2 linked regions of the Rhinolophus ferrumequinum genome follow. The protein of the gene in region 2 purifies or fractionates together with the protein of the main gene of each other region. This does not show direct contact. Links are inferred from orthologs where the notes say so. Each region holds a gene or a part of one and is shown on either strand. Other genes may lie near its edges.

Evidence for each region. The genes of interacting proteins can lie anywhere in the genome.
Region 1: the proteins of MAP4K4 (region 2) and RAP2C purify together in Homo sapiens (affinity purification with mass spectrometry; 3 studies listed by BioGRID and IntAct, counting the BioPlex papers as one, with this or other methods). This does not show direct contact. The link is inferred for Rhinolophus ferrumequinum from reciprocal best matches to the Homo sapiens genes MAP4K4 and RAP2C.

Annotation. Positions count from the first base shown.
Region 1 is NC_046284.1:23,655,385-23,663,387, reverse strand, and holds the start of RAP2C (ras-related protein Rap-2c), read right to left. Parts: upstream 3,018-8,003; 5' UTR 2,927-3,017; intron 1,660-2,926; exon of another isoform or gene 1,471-1,659; intron 1,332-1,470; 5' UTR 796-1,331; coding exon 523-795; intron 1-522. UniProt on the Homo sapiens protein: Small GTP-binding protein which cycles between a GDP-bound inactive and a GTP-bound active form. May play a role in cytoskeletal rearrangements and regulate cell spreading through activation of the effector TNIK.
Region 2 is NC_046296.1:3,142,051-3,149,658, forward strand, and holds the start of MAP4K4 (mitogen-activated protein kinase kinase kinase kinase 4), read right to left. Parts: upstream 3,098-7,608; 5' UTR 2,929-3,097; coding exon 2,872-2,928; intron 2,518-2,871; coding exon 2,452-2,517; intron 1-2,451.

The sequences.
Region 1 (8,003 bases), on a different chromosome or scaffold from region 2:
GGCAGGTCTTGAATTCTTCATCCTGCAGCACTAAGATTCTGGTTGAGAAACTTGAGTGAAAACAGAGAGGGGGTGGGTGGTGGGAAAAGCAGACACAGAGGTGGGAAAAGTTGCACAGATGATGGACTCCAAATAATTTTCCTTTCAAAGTGCTCTATTTAACCGGGTTTATCTGCTAATGTTGTTTTGTTGAGTACATTAATCAATACTTGTTGAACTGAATAAGCAACTTCAGAAGGTTATATTCCATGCTAAATATACACAAACTGAACTGTTTCTTTTTTTCTGACCCTTTTCACTTTTCTTCGACTTAAAAATAACTTTAAAATATTTGTTGACACTTTTTACTTTAGTATTCTCTATAGAAAGAACCCAATACTTTTCCGTGCCAGGAGTAACCTCAAAAATGCGCCATGTCTAACTTTCAAAAGCAAAACATAGTCATTAACGCACGGTTCAAGCAAACCAGAAGTAGGATTACCACACCCCCTTCTTACAAATTACAAGACTTGGTTTGGTTACCTGAAAAGACTGTTGATTAACCAGACTATAAACCAGGATGAAACCTTGGCCGTTTTTGATGTAGAGATCTCTCATGGAGGCAAACTGCTCAGTTCCTGCGGTGTCCAGAATTTCCAGCACCGACGGAGAAGAGTCCACTTCGATCTCTTTGCGGTAGAAATCTTCAATGGTGGGGTCATATTTCTCAATGAAAGTCCCAGTGACAAACTGCACAGTCAGGGCAGATTTGCCAACCCCTCCGCTCCCTAAAACCACTACCTTGTATTCCCTCATGAGTCTCACCTTCACTAACTCCTACCCGAGGGAGGGAAAATAACGCCCCGCTAGCAGCGGCGCGCTCGGGGAGGTGGAAGGTGGGCGGAAATCTGCGAACTGGGGAGGAGAGTGCAGAGAAACAGAGGGCCCAACGCGGGACGAAGAGGAAGTTAAGGGCGGGGGAGGGGAGAGAGCGAAGTGTCGGGGTGGGTGGGGATGGGATGGTAATGCCCTTCCTATAGGAACTGAACCCCAGGCAGGGGGCGTGGGGAGGAGGGCGCGCCTGGAGAAGCCAAGCAAGGGTAGGGAGATGAAATGCGCCCTTGGAGGCAGGGGCTGGAGGCTGCCGATCGTGGGGCTCCGGCAGGCAGGCGGACGTCCGAGGAGCCCGCAGCTAGGGGCTGCCCGCACCCCTCCCCCGCCCTTCACACAAAGGGGCCCAGGGACCCCGCTTCCTGCTAGCGCCGCTGAGCCGGCCCAGGCCTGTGGGCTCCACTCCCGTCACTGCTGCCGGGCGGGTCTGTGGGCCGCGGCTCCCACGGGCGTCGTCCGGCCTGTTATAGGGGAAAGGGGCGCACGTTACCCGCCTGACCCCCTCCAGCCCCAAAGCAGCAGCCCCTGCTGCCGCCTCCCCCAGCTCCACCCCCCACCCCCACCCGGCTGCCTCCACCAACGCCGAAGCAACCCGCTTACCCTGCAGTCCGCACCCGCCCGGCCGCCCGGGAGGCTGTGTCACACCAAGGCCATGGCCACGGGCCGGCTTCTGTCTTACCGCCGCCCCAGCGCTGCTGCTCGCAGAGGGGAGAGGGGCGGGAGCCGTCCAGCGGCGGCGGCGGCCGCAGGGACTCCAGGCGAACCCACCTCTTTTTTTTTCTCATTCACTCCCCCCCCCCCGCCAGTACACACCCGGAAGGGTTTCCCTGACACACTGGCTGAGGTGTCCCAGTTCCCTGAGACTGGACCGGATCACTTCCGGTGGGGAAAGTCCCACCTCTTCGGAGTGAGCGGAGTGGCGCTGGGGCCGCGCCCTGCTGGGCGAGACGGCTGGGGACAGTTTTTGGTCGGGGCTATGGCCTTGGCAAGGGCCTCTCTGAGAACCTTCAGCGTCGTTCTTTTCCCCACCAGCAGCTGCTGCTGCTTCTGCTGCTAGTCCCATCCCCAAAGGTATTGAAGCCCCTCAGCGTCTCAGCCGCCCCCAGCTCTGCCGGAGGACTTGATCCCCTCGTTGGCCTGTGCGGGACAGCCAGTAATGATCTAATGACCGGGAGAATGCCCAACATCCCTGGACTAGAAGTGGCAGGAAAAATAAAACAGCCAAGAAAGTTTATTCTCTTTGCTGGTATTTCTTCTCCTTGATCTTTTTTTAAAAAACTCGTGCAAACTACCTTTAGACTTCATTATTGCTCTGATTTCGTATGTGGTGGTGTGTTTTACTTGGCTGTGCCTGACATAATTAAACACAGTACTTTTATCAACTGGAAAATCTGCCTTGATTCCATTAGCAAATGCCAAAGTCACTCCTTTTCTTTCTTGTCACCAGGCTTGGAAAACAAAAGGTTTACCAATAGACTTTCCAGGTACTCTAACTCAGCTTTGCCCCTGATTCCAAGTGCTACACAGCAGGGAAAGGTAACCAATATACAGGGAAGAGTTGATTGTAAATTGTTCAATTTACTAACTTCTTTTAATCTTTCATTATCTGCATGTACAGCTATTTGTATGGCTAGCTCTTCCATGTTAAGGTTTCTTTTAACAGCCATCCTCCATAGTCATTGAAATTCGAAAGCACAGGACTCTAGTGTTAAATATTAACTTTCTATTTTTAGATAAAATTGTTACTTCTTACATATCTTTCCTCTGCTAACTTTCTACTTGTAAACTTTGTGTCAGATCCACAGGCCCAGAAAGCTAGGTTATTTTTTAGGCATGTTACTCCCTTTTTGATTCAAGCACGCACCCAAAAACCTGAGAGATTCCGTGGCCAGTCTAATTAAACTGACTGCATATTTCCTTACCTGCAAGTCCTAATGGCCAGACTGTATTAAAAGAGATTACCAAACCCAGATTGTTAGATACTAGAAAACATGTAACTCACAGTAGTGTGAAGTCCCACTGTGTCTCTCCCTGAGTATTCCCCAATGTCACTTACAGTATCCAAAGGACAGTTTAGTTCAATTTCTCCTCGGCCCAGGGCTGGAGCAATCTGTTCAGAGAGGTCCCCAGCTCTGGCTCCAGCTGGCCGGAGTCCCGCCTGATATCTGAGGCACTGCCCTCTGCTGGAAGAGGTTTGGTCTATGAGTTATGAGTCTCCCCATAGGTCATTGCTACTTCCACACGTGCCGTTGCCTGATTTGGAGCTCTGCTGCCCATCTCCCTGTCTAGCTGTCTCCAGACTGTCTGGTGGAATCCACAGCCTGCACCAGCCCTGCTTGTAACTGAGTCTGGAAATTCCTCTTCTGATCCAGCAATCAGTGTTGAACAGTAGTACCAAGTCTCTGCTCTGTTACTAAATTGTCAAAACAGGGAGCTCTTCCTTTTGAGGTCATCCCACCTGTTGGCAACTGTAATAGTCCTGAACGTGTTGGCCAAAGTGTTCGGGAGAAAGTTCTTTTGTTTCTCCACACAGTGAAACATAATCCTCCTCTCAGTACAGAGTTCTATTGGGTCACTCTCAGCAACTACAGCGTTGATAAATGTTACACTCGGTCTGAAGCTCCTTCTAAACTTTTTTGGTAAGGGAATACATTACAGCAGCATTTATGAAAGCAAACAATCAGAAGTAATTTAAATGTCCTATAATAGGTGATTGAAAATTGTGTGTGTGTGTGTGTGTGTGTGTGTGTGCGCATTCACAAAACGGGATACTATGCAGCTACTAAAAAAGAGATAAGTAGATTCGGAAGTGCTGATATGAAAAGATACCATAATATATTGTAAGGCTGAAAAAAAAGCAAGATACTGAACAAATAGATAGTTGCTCTCATTTATGTAAACTGTGCAATATATATTATATAGCCATTAAAATCTGAAACAGTCATTAATTATCTGTGAGGGGTATTATAAAAGGACTTTTAATCCTTCATATCATTTAAATTTTAAACAATCAGGTATTATTGGGGAAAGGGAATAAATATAATTTTATAATATTTTTAAAGGAGAAACAAAAGGAAGTTGTTGATCACTTACTCAAAAACAACTTCCTCTACATCCTGACTGTCTAGGGGTCAGTGCACAGGTCTGCCCAATTTAAACAAACTCCCTCCCCCTTTCTTTATTCTCCTCCACAAATATATCTATACTTAGAAAAGTATTTTAACATACATTATCTTATTAGATTCCAGTTGTTCACCAGTTTACTTTTATTAGGCAACGAGAGTGTAAAGACCAATTAGAAGAGCACTGCCTGGCAGTTGAAAGCCAAAGGCTCTGAACTGAGGCAGACAGGCATTTAAATGGCAGCTCCTCCACCTCCTAGCTGTTCCTAGCTGTGGGACCTCAAGCAAATGATTTCACCCATTTGAGCTTCTAATTCTTCACCTGTAAAATAGAGCTAATCATTTAATGTGAGAATATAATGAAGTTTTATATGTAAAATATATAAGCACAGTCCCTTGCTCTGTATGAACCTTTAATAAATGCTAGCTATTTGATTTCTATTTAAAAGAGTTAATAAAGTGTTATTTTTAAAAAAATCAGCACACATAGAGAGGAAAACAAAACTTGAAAAGCCCAAATATCTCCAAGTGGCACAAAAATAATAACACAACTACTCTTTCTAAAGGTATTTATTGTTAAAAGTTTCTTGTATTGCCTTTCAGAGAAAAAAAAATGTTGTTTATATATTAGTATATCTATCAATCTGTCTTCTATATGTATTTTTTAAAAATTACTTCAAAAGTAATCTGACAATACACAGCATTCTGCACGTTGCTTTTTTCACTTACTATATCTTGGTGAATTTTCCAGTTGAGAACATATAGATGTACTTCATGTTTTTTTTTTAACAGCTGAACCATGATTTAGTTAACCAGTTCCAGCAACTGAAGGACACTGGTTGCTTCTAGTTCCTTACACTGAACATCTTCCACATACATACAGAGGGTGCTAAAAAAATGTATACACATTTTTTAAAAGGAAAAATGCTAGCGTCATTCATGGTATTACAATTTTAATACAACTACAACTATTAAAATTGTAATACCATGAATGACGCTAGCATTCATTTGATTAACTCCATCTTTTGAGCTAACATCATACTACATATTGCTACCGTAATTCCATTCAACTTCGAAAAGTAATACATAGATAATATCTCTTAAAATGTGTACATATTTTGGCACCCCTGGTATATCTTTGCTAGTTATTTTTTGGGTGAATTTTCAGTAGCTGAATAATTGAAACAACTGGTACTTGCATTTTAAATTATTCTGGTAAATATTGCCAAGTTATCCTTCAGGAAGATCACCGATTCACATTCCTACCAACACAGTATGATGGTAACTGTTTATCACCTCATCCTAGGTATTACTAATTTTAGTATTTCTTAGCTACTGTTACTCATGTTAGGGTATTTTCAGGACTAACAAATGCAGGGTAGTATTATAAAAGGAATTTGGGCTTCAGAGCCAGACAAGCCTAATATTGCCCTTTGCCAACTAGCTCTCCATTCCCTCATTTGTAAAGTTGGGCATACTAGTGGATCTGGCTTGTAGGACTCCTTTGAAGAATAAAAGAGGCACGTCATTCAAAGCACTTAGGCACCCAAACAGTAACTGCTTAATTACCATATGACCCAGCAATCCCTCTCCTGGGTATCTACCCCAAAAATCTGAAAACATTTATCCTTAAAGATATAAGTGCTCCAATGTTCATTGCAGCTTTATTTACGGTGGCCAAGACATGGAAACAACCAAAGTGTCCTTCGATAGACGATCGGATAAAGAAGTTGTGGTGTGTATATATATATATACGTATATATATATATATATATACGTATATATATATATATATATACGTATATATATATATACTATATATATATACGTATATATATATACGTATATATATACGTATATATATATATGTAATGGAATACTATTCTGCCATAAGAAAAGATGAAATAGTACCATTTGCGACAACATGGACGGACCTTGAGATTATAATGCTGAGTGAAATAAGTCAGACAGAAAAAGTCGAGAACCATATGATTTCACTGACATGTGGTACATAAAACTGAAAACAACAAAAGAACAAGAAAAACAAATGAAGAAACAAAAACTCACAGACATAGACAATAGTTTAATGGTTATCAAAGGGTAAGGAGGGAGAGGGGTTGTGGATGAAGGTAAAGGGGAGCCAATATATGGTGATGGAAAGAGAACTGACTCTGGGTGGTGAACACATGACGTGATATATGTAGATATGTATTACAGAACTGTACACCTGAAATCTATGTAACTTTGCTAACAATTTTCACCCCAATAAACTTTAATTAAAAAAAAACTAAAAGACATCAACATACAACTAAAGCAGTGGATGACGCAGAGACATTTAAAAAAATAAAAAATAAATGTAAACTGCTCAAACAATAACTTTCCACTCCCAAGGCTCAAAGATGGGGGGAGGGTAACTTCTCTAGCGAGTATGACCTTGAGATTTAGAACTTCTGCTTTAATTCTGTGTCAACCTCCATTCCATAGTAATTATTGCTCGGGCAATCATTCTCAAGAACAGCCGATTTTACCATAGTATGAAGAAATCTTAGGGTATAAACCATACGCAGAATACAGAAGTTACAGGTACATAATCTTGTTGTATGCAATTAACTTGGCACAAGTTTAAATTGCTAAATAGTTTGCTTCAGGCACCAGTTGTTCACTTCTCTTATCCCTCCCTTCCACTTCAGGCATCCTTCAGTTTTGAGCCGTGGAGCCATAAACTGTTCTGGATAATTTTCCCTCACTTCCACCCTCCAAGTGAGCCCTCTCACCCACCTTCCAGGTCCTGGGGAGAAAAACCGAGCCCTGTTCTTTCCATGCCCCAGTACTTTCCTTCTCTTTTGCTTGAAGTTGCCTTCCAGTTAGTAGAAAGCTGAGTCAGTAGGGTCCTCAGTCTTTGCCTACGGAAATCTTCAGCAGGGCAAATCTTCTCTTCTTATTTCAGGCCTTTGGGAGGCCCCTTGGTAGCAGATTGTGTTCTTTCCAGCCCTTTCTAGCCTCCAAATCCTGCCTCAAGCTACACCAGCTATTGGCTCTGCATATCAGTCTCCCTAGGTACACAGAACCAATTTTATACCTTTACTATCTTTACCTTATTATAAAAAAATGTTCCTTGCAAAAAAATATTTTTTAAAGGTAGTCACCATTATATTTTAGTGCCTTTCAAAAATTTTTTCTCTGAAGGTAAAAAAAATATTTTTAAAACTAAAAGTGGGGTCATATTGTTCTGTAAGCTACCTCTTTCACTGACTGACACTTCATACCTGCATAAAGTATTAAAAGTAGTCATGTATCCCTCATTGCCTGAATACGCCTTCTCCCCCATACCTTTAGCTTTCCTACAACTCCAATTAGCATATAATCACATTCAACCTTGCCCACCTGGAATCTTCATCCAATCAGTGAAATTTCATGGCAAGGTCTGCTTACCACAGAGGCCACTACCCAAGCCTGGCCAGGCAAACATACCTACAGAGACACAAAACTGTTATTTTCCAGATGTGACAGCTGAGTTCCTTGGAGCTCAGTGGGTTATTAAATAGAGTGTACCTAAAACAGATCTGAACTCCTTAATCGTTTTCCCTCTCTGTGGGGACAGAGCCAGGAGTGCACTTTCCAGGCTCTCGGCCTCACGTGGAAAGGTGCTGGCTCAAGTAGTAAATGGCCAGCAACTGTGATTGGATGGCCATCTGCTGTGGCTAGTTGGCCGTCAGCTGTAACCAGTGAGCCATTGGCCACTAATATATCCGCCGTGGCTAAGCTAGCAGCAATTGGGGGCCTAGGAAGAAGATGGTGGCTGAGCTAGCAATAGCGGATTGCAGTTAGCACGGCAGATTGCAGCTAGCAAGTGAGGTTGGATGCCAGAGAGAAGTGGACGGCAGTTTGCAGATAGTGTGTCTTCTGCTTCCTGTGTCTCCAACCCAGCCGCCAGCAAGAATATAGTGTTATGACTCCCCTATCTATGGCTCCGTGGGTGTTCCTTTTTGGCCTCACCATGTCCTGCGTTCT
Region 2 (7,608 bases):
AGAGTGTTAATAATCTAATCCCAAAACCACCATATGCAAACTATGCTAACAGAAACCCTAAATAAACTCCTATGCATAATGTAAATGGCTCTAGAAATTATACAGTTGAAGGGAGAAGAAACGGAGATGTTAACTGTTTCTGCTAGCTCCATCACCTCTAGGACTAAACTGCCCAGCACCAGTTCATAAATATTAAAGAACTTGTGATAGTAAGAAAACATGTATGAAACAATCAGGAAAATGTTAATACTCAGTATTTGGTTCTAAGGAATTAATTTTTTAGGTGTGAGAATGGCACTGTGATTATCTAAAAAACAAAAAAGGTACATCCTGAAGTATTTATGGGTGAAATGGTTAAGATAATGGAGGGGAGGAAGACCTCAGATACCAGATTAGTCACGTGCCGGTAACTGTTAAACTATGCGATCTACTCTCTCCCCTTGGGTATGTCGAAATTTTCCAAAATGATAAAACAGGACTGCTGATGAGCAAAGTCTCAGGCACTGTTCTGTTCGTGATTGTATGCCACTTGTGCACAGGTTTCTTAATTCTTTAGATTTGCACAATTTCAGAATTTCTCCTCAACTGTACAGACTCTGCAGTCAGAGAGCTGTGTCACTGTCAATATCCCAAATACTTCCCAAATGCAGTACTCGGGAAATCTATTTCAAAAACTTGGGTGAAAGAGAGGATGGAACCAAAGAGGAAATGCGGAGGGGAAAAAGGTTTAATGAACCAGCTAGCAAAAAGAACTCCTACCTTAAAACCAATTAATACACATTGAGGTTTCATTCTTTCTTCTTTCTTGTGGTTGAAAAACAGACTGTCAGCTTCTGGTTTACTTCACCACCCTTCACATCCATGCTCACCCAGGAAGATACAATCCAACCACCGTGTAACCAGGTCAAAAACAAGCTTTGGCTAACTCACTTGGAAGAGTATACTCACCATTTAGATTTAGCCAGAAAAACTGGGTTAGAAAAAAACAACTGGTGTTTAAACAAACACTGGGGCTAGGGCAAACGTCTTTAAGCCAGTTACCAGGCCACTCAATGAGTTGCAACACAATCTTTTCCAAAATTTTCCAAAGGCTTCCAAATTCAGTTGAGCCAGCAGGCTGAGTTAACAGGGCTCCTTTCAAATTCAAAAATCTGGCCACAGCCCCAACAGTTAACCAACAAAACACAGTCTAATTCACTTGAGATCACCTAAGAATCCTGACTCAAGTTCAGACCACCGGCCAGTACACAGCCTGTCCAGGGGACACTGGGGTTGGGGAGACACGTTCAAGGGACAGATAAACCCTATTCATTCAGCAAAAAACAGACAATAGGATCCACACTTAATTCGCCCTAAGAAAATGTCTACAGTCAGCTTCCATGCCCCCCCCATTCTCATTATTAATGAGACAATGACAATTCTTCATGGTGAACCACAAAGCCCTGCTTCATAAGATATTTTTTTCTATTCCAACCTTGTACCCACTCTAACAGCTGCAAACACCCCCAGGGCAGATAACTTTTAGAAAACGGCTAGTATAAGAAACAAATCAGGACAGGGAGATTTAACCTTCTGTTTCAAATGTTCAAGGCCTGCGCCTCCATTACCTACAGCTCCTTCATAATCTCTAGAATGTGCACTGGACAAAATGAACAGCACAGCTAGTCACATCAGGTGTCAGCTACTCAAGGCAGACTCACAGTCTCCAGGTTTGTTAGATTCATTTGCCATTGCGGGGTGAGTGTTAAAAAAGAGAGAAAGACCTGGGATGGGTGTGAAAGCTGGGCAACCTCTTTACTCCTCACTCTCCCTCATTTCTGTTTCAATTACACACCTGTCAAACAGGTTATTCCTGGAATTCAGATTTTATAATCCTCACACTGCAATTCTTCCTGCTCCTGTGGCCCAAACACAAGCGCTCCCTGCTTCTCCAAAATATGTATCCATCAGTAGACTGTATGACAAAGTTATAGTGTCCCAGGTAGCAACAAACTCCACACCTTGAGAGCTTGGCAAGCATTCAAACGAGGAAACACGATGACAATTTTCAAGAAGGCCAAGGCAGTGGTTTAGGATAACCATGGGCAAGGCCTGCCTAGCCTGAATTTTAATTAACACACAAAGTCAGAAGGCCAGATTTGGGGAAAACGAAAAAAAAGAAAATGAAGACTGTCTTATGGAAAGAAAAAAAAAATGCTTTCCCCTTTTATTATAGTGCATGCCTAAGAGTGTAGCTTATTTCCTTATCTCAAAGCCAGGAAATGAGGTCTTTTAAGGCCAGTCTGGATGTAAACTGTTTGAAAACAGAGGGCCTGCGAGGAGAAACCCCTTTCCCAACTTTGGCCAACTGGCGTGGCCTCCAGTCAGCAGCAGCGTGTTTATCACCCCTCTGGTCCCCCGACCAGAAGTTTCAACATGCCACGGGAAACAAAGAAGGCGCCCCACACCGACCTTATAGACTTGTCCGTAGGTGCCATTTCCAACCACTTCCACCAGCTCAAAAATCCCAGCAGGATCCTAGACAAGAAGGAGGGGAGGGGTTATCATTTGAAAGCTGCACAACAATGAATCAATACAGCGGGGCAGTTGGAGAGAAAGGGCGGTTACAAAGAGGTGGGTTTCGCCCGGCGATGTCCTCCAGCAGCCGAGGGTCGCGGGTGCAGAGCCCGGGACGCTGGGGGCGGCGGCGGGGGCACCCCGGCCCCGCACATGCCGACACTGGCAGACAAAGGGGCCGCCGCGCCCGCGGCTCTGCCCGCGGCGGCGCCCGAGCGCCGAGCGGCCCAGGGCGCGGCCCCTGCGCCCTGCGCTCCGCGCTCCGCGCCCCGCGCGCCCCGGCGCCCCTGCGCCCGGCCCGTCGCGGCCACTCACCCGCAGGGACGAGAGATCGATGTCCACCAGACTTTTTGCGGGGGAGTCGTTCGCCATCTTCCCTTTTGGCCACCAGACCAAGAGTGAGGATGAAGATACCGATTTCGGGATGATTTCCGTCGCAGGCCAGGCCGCCGACGGCGCCTTCTCGCACGGGCGCCGGCGGCCCGGACTCCGCCTGGCGAGGCCGGGGCGGACGGAGCGTGCGCGGGGCGGCGGCGCCGCTCACACCATGGCGCGGCCGGTGGCAGCCCCCGGGCGTCGCCCGCGCCTCAGGCCCCGCGCCCGCGCCGCGCGCTGCTGACGGGCCCGGAGCTGGGGCCGCGGCGCCGCCGAGAGTTGAGCGAGTGAGCGCGAGGCCGCGAGACAAAGCTACCCGGGCGGCGGGGGCGGAGCGGGGAGGGAGGCGGGAGGGGGGCGGGCGGCGAGGGAGGAGGGGACACGGGACACCGAAAATATATTCCGAGGAGAGAGAAAACAGCTCCCCCTTTCCTGCTCCGGCAGGAAAAACGGGCGGAAACGCACTCCCACCGAAGCCCCGCTGGGGAGGGCGCGGGGCGAGCCGCCCGCGCGGCGTGAATATGCATCAGGGGTGGGGCCGAACAATGGCCGGCCGGCGGCCCCGCGCCGCGCTCTCCCCGTGGCCGGAGCTCGGAGGAACACGCCTGGGGTGGCCCCGGGGATGTCCTCAGAGCAGGAAGGCGCCCCTACCTCGCACTAACAATAAGCAAGGAGCACTGACCTGGACCCAAAGGCCGAGAGGCGGCCGGACCCTTCTCTCACTGTCCCTCTAAAGGGACTCGAAGGGGGTGTACCCAAGCAGAGCACGGTCCTCCCTTTCGCTTCATTCCCACTTATCCCCATCTCCTTCTCCCACCACCCTATTCTCCACCCTCAAGACCCTCATTTCCGATTTCCCTACATGGTTGTCTTGTCCCTTCTCCAGGCTAAATTTGTGACTCGGTTGTAGTGGCGGGATTCGCTGAGCATCCCTTGGCTGCCCGGTCCCAAGTCTTTGGATGGATGGAAACAGATTCCCAAACAGCCCCTCTCGTGCTGAGTTACCCAACTCAGGCGAACACTGTGTTTGGGGTCATAAGTACTAACCCGAGTTTTGTGCCTAGAGATCATTAAGGATCAATAAACAGGCATCTTCCAGACACTTTGGAAGCTTGTGGGTGGTCAGACAACTTAATCCTGTTAACCAAGAGCTATTGTCTGTGCACAACCATCGTTTTTATCACATCACTCTGCTGTACAAAAACCTTCAATGGCTCCCTATTACCTCACAGCAGTTTCTCAAGCCTAAATTCACAGATTCACCAGGAGGGATTGTAAAAGCACTGATTGCAGACCCCACCTCAAGCGTGTCTGATTCAGCTGGTCTGGAATAGGCCTGAGAATTTGCTTTTTTTTGGGGGGGGGGAAGGGAACAGTGTGTTTTTCCAGGAGGACCCCTCAGCTCTAAGTCAAGCCATTGTTTCCACTCTGGTTGTGGAGGGCGCAGCTCACTAGCCTATGTGGGAACTGGCGACCTTAGTGTTATGAGCACTGCGCTCTAACCAACTGAGCCAACAGGCTGCCCCAGGATTTGCATTTCTAACAAGTCCTGGATGAGGCTAACCTGCAGTCACAGGGGCCACACTGAGAGCAGCAGCCTCACAGGGTGAAAATCCAAGGCCCTTCATAACTAGGCTTCACATACATCACCATCATCATCGATTGTCACCTTGTACACAATACCCGATTTAGTCCCTCCCCTAGCCCGGGAGTGATATTATCCTTATTTTAGGGGTGAGGAAACCAAAGTACTCGAAGATAAGTAATGTGCCTAAAGTCCTTAAAAGCATAGCCTGCAAGAGGAGCCGGGATTCTCACCAGGTCAGCCTGTTCCCCAAAACCCAAGTCTCTGATTCAGCGAGGTTAGTCTTCTACCCCACGTATGTTTAGCTCTCTCCTGCCTCCCAACAGTTTGGTTTCCATGATTTTGCACCATGAGAATGCCTTGTAAAACTAAGGTACCTTCAAGGACTCCTGGAATCCGTTGGTTAGGAAAATCATAGTAACCAAAGTGTTCTTGTGAATTTTGTAGTGCTTTTAAATGATTTTGTTTTTTAACTTAGCAACAGCAACGGCGTTATCTATGAGTGTAAATTAAATAATTTTCTCAGAGAGCTAGATTGGTGCCCATGTGAACTTTCAGACCACATTAGAGTAATATTTTAGTAGTGTTCATTATGAATAATAGATAACACATATTGGGTCCAGACGATGTGCTGAGTCCTTTACATACATTATCTCATTATTCTTCACATTAACCCCAAACAGTGGGCACTCTTACTTTTCCAACTTTACACATTAGGAAACCAACGTCCAAAGAAGTGAAGTGACTTGCTTAGTGTGCACAGCTGAACTCAAGGCAGAAACACCAGGGCCCGGGAGCCCGCCAAGCCAGCCTCAACTCTAAACTCATGACTTTGAGGCCCGCCTCAGACCACCCCTTCTTCTCTGCCTACCCAAATCCTCTCCATCACCTCAAGCTCAAATCAGAAACCATCTCTTCCTTCTACCAGCTTTCTCAAAATCTCCTGAGCTACAATTTCCCATGATCACCACTATGACGGTCATGTCCCACTTTCCACTCAGTACCTTTTCTTGAAGTGCCTACCCAGCACAAGGCCCTGGCTTAGCCACTGCCTGAGATACAAGGAAGATTAAGGCAGCCTATCCTCAGAGCTTACAGTCTGATAATGGGTGTACGACAGCTTCATAAATAGCTATAGTTAATGGCAGAACATAATAAATTCTGGCGGGATGGAAAGAGGTCCAATGGGAAGTAGGCTGGATTCAGGGCAAAGATGAACTGGATTTGAACCCAACTTCCCATTAGTTGTGTAGCCTTGCACAAGTTGCTTGACTTCTGAGCCTCCGTTTCCTGTTCTGTATACGAGATGAAGATGAGGTAAGAAGTACAGTAAAAGGGCCATCTCAAGAGCACAGGCCAGGTAATAGCGCCTGGGCTAGTCAACTCTCTTACGACTTGGCATCTGATGGGATGCCAGAGCAGTGTAGACGACATTAAAATTTTTCGTGTGGGATGGCTAGATGACTCGGTTGGAGCACAGGCTCTCAACCACAAGGTTGCAGGTTCCTCTCCTTGATTCCCGGAAGAGATGGTGGGCTCCGCCCCCTGCAACTAAGATTGGCAAGGGATGGTGGGCTCCGCCCCCTGCAACTAAAAATGGCACCTGGACCTGGAACTAAGATTGAAAAGGACAACAACTTGACTTGGAAAAGTCCCAGAAGTACATACTATTCCCCAATAAAGTCCTGTTCCCCTTCCCCAATAAAATGTTTAAAAAAATTTTTTTTTTTTTTGCTTGTGGTTTGGAGCTTTGTCCACACTTGGGAGGATGCTGTCATGAGCAGAGGAAAAGATGGGAGTTTCTGTATGGTGGTGGCAAAGGAAGGTTGGGCTTTGGATTTGGACTGTGTGCAAAGACAACTTTTCATACAGAAGCAGGGTACCCCTGCCCAGCATGCTACTCTGCTCAAGCTCCAAGGGTAGGGGCCATGTTCTCAATAGGCACAGATTAGCTCAGGCTGCCATCATAAAATACCACAGACTGGGTGACTTAAATAACAATTTCTTTTCTTACAGTACTAGAAGCTAGAAGATCAAGGTTCCAGATGATTTGATTTCTGGTGAGAGCTCTCTTCCTGGCTTGCAGATGGCCGCCTTCTCACTGTGTCCTCACATGGGCTTTGCTGAGAACTAGTACACAGAAAGAAAGGACAAGCTCCCTGGTGTTTCTTTTGATAAGGACACTTATCCTATCGGAACAGGGCCCCACCCTTATGACCTCTATGAATTTAAACTTAATTATTTCCTTACAGGCCACATCTCCAAATACAGCCACACTGGGGTTTAAGGTTTCAACATATTGGGGGACACATTTAGTCTATAACAAGCCATGTGCAATACGTGATGTCAGGAAATAAACTTAAGTCATGGCCCTTGTACTCAGGAATCTATTTGAGAATACAAAATAAACCCACCCAAAGAGATAATCGAGATAATAATTTGGAAAATAATACTAATTTGGCATTTTAGGCTGAAGGAAAAATAGCTTAGTTGGACAAAGAATGAGAAGTTGAAAGAATGAGGAAACTGACCACACTGGGTCAGAGGACTCAGTTCAGAGAACTCTGAGAGATAAAGCTAGAGGACAGGTTAGGTGGCACCAGAAGACAAAACCGAGGAATGAATGATGTGGGGATTAAAAAACAAACCCAGAGTATCAATTAAGTCAAGGGAGATATGGCCTAGCCTTGGGCTTTAAGAGTTCTGATGGCAGGAGAGAGCTTATGGGTTCAGCAGGCCAAGGGATATAAATGTGCATCTTCCCAGGGTACAAGCAGCTCACACCCAGTCACAGAAATTCCAGGGGAAGCTTAATTATGCAAGAGGTCAAAAATGACAACTCCCTGTACATCACTTTACATATCTCCTAGTTTTTTTGTTTATTGTTAAAATATTGGTGGAAATCGATTTTCAACCTTAGAATGGGGCAGGGCAAGGAGGGCAGCAGAGCTGTGAAACTGAGCCTGAATATAACTGAGGGGCTCAGGGGCATAGAGGACTTGGGTCAACTGGAAATAAATGATGAAGCAAGGGGAATTGAGTCAAACAAAGAAAACAATGGTGGGGTGTGTGCAGGAAGAGCTCAGAAAGGA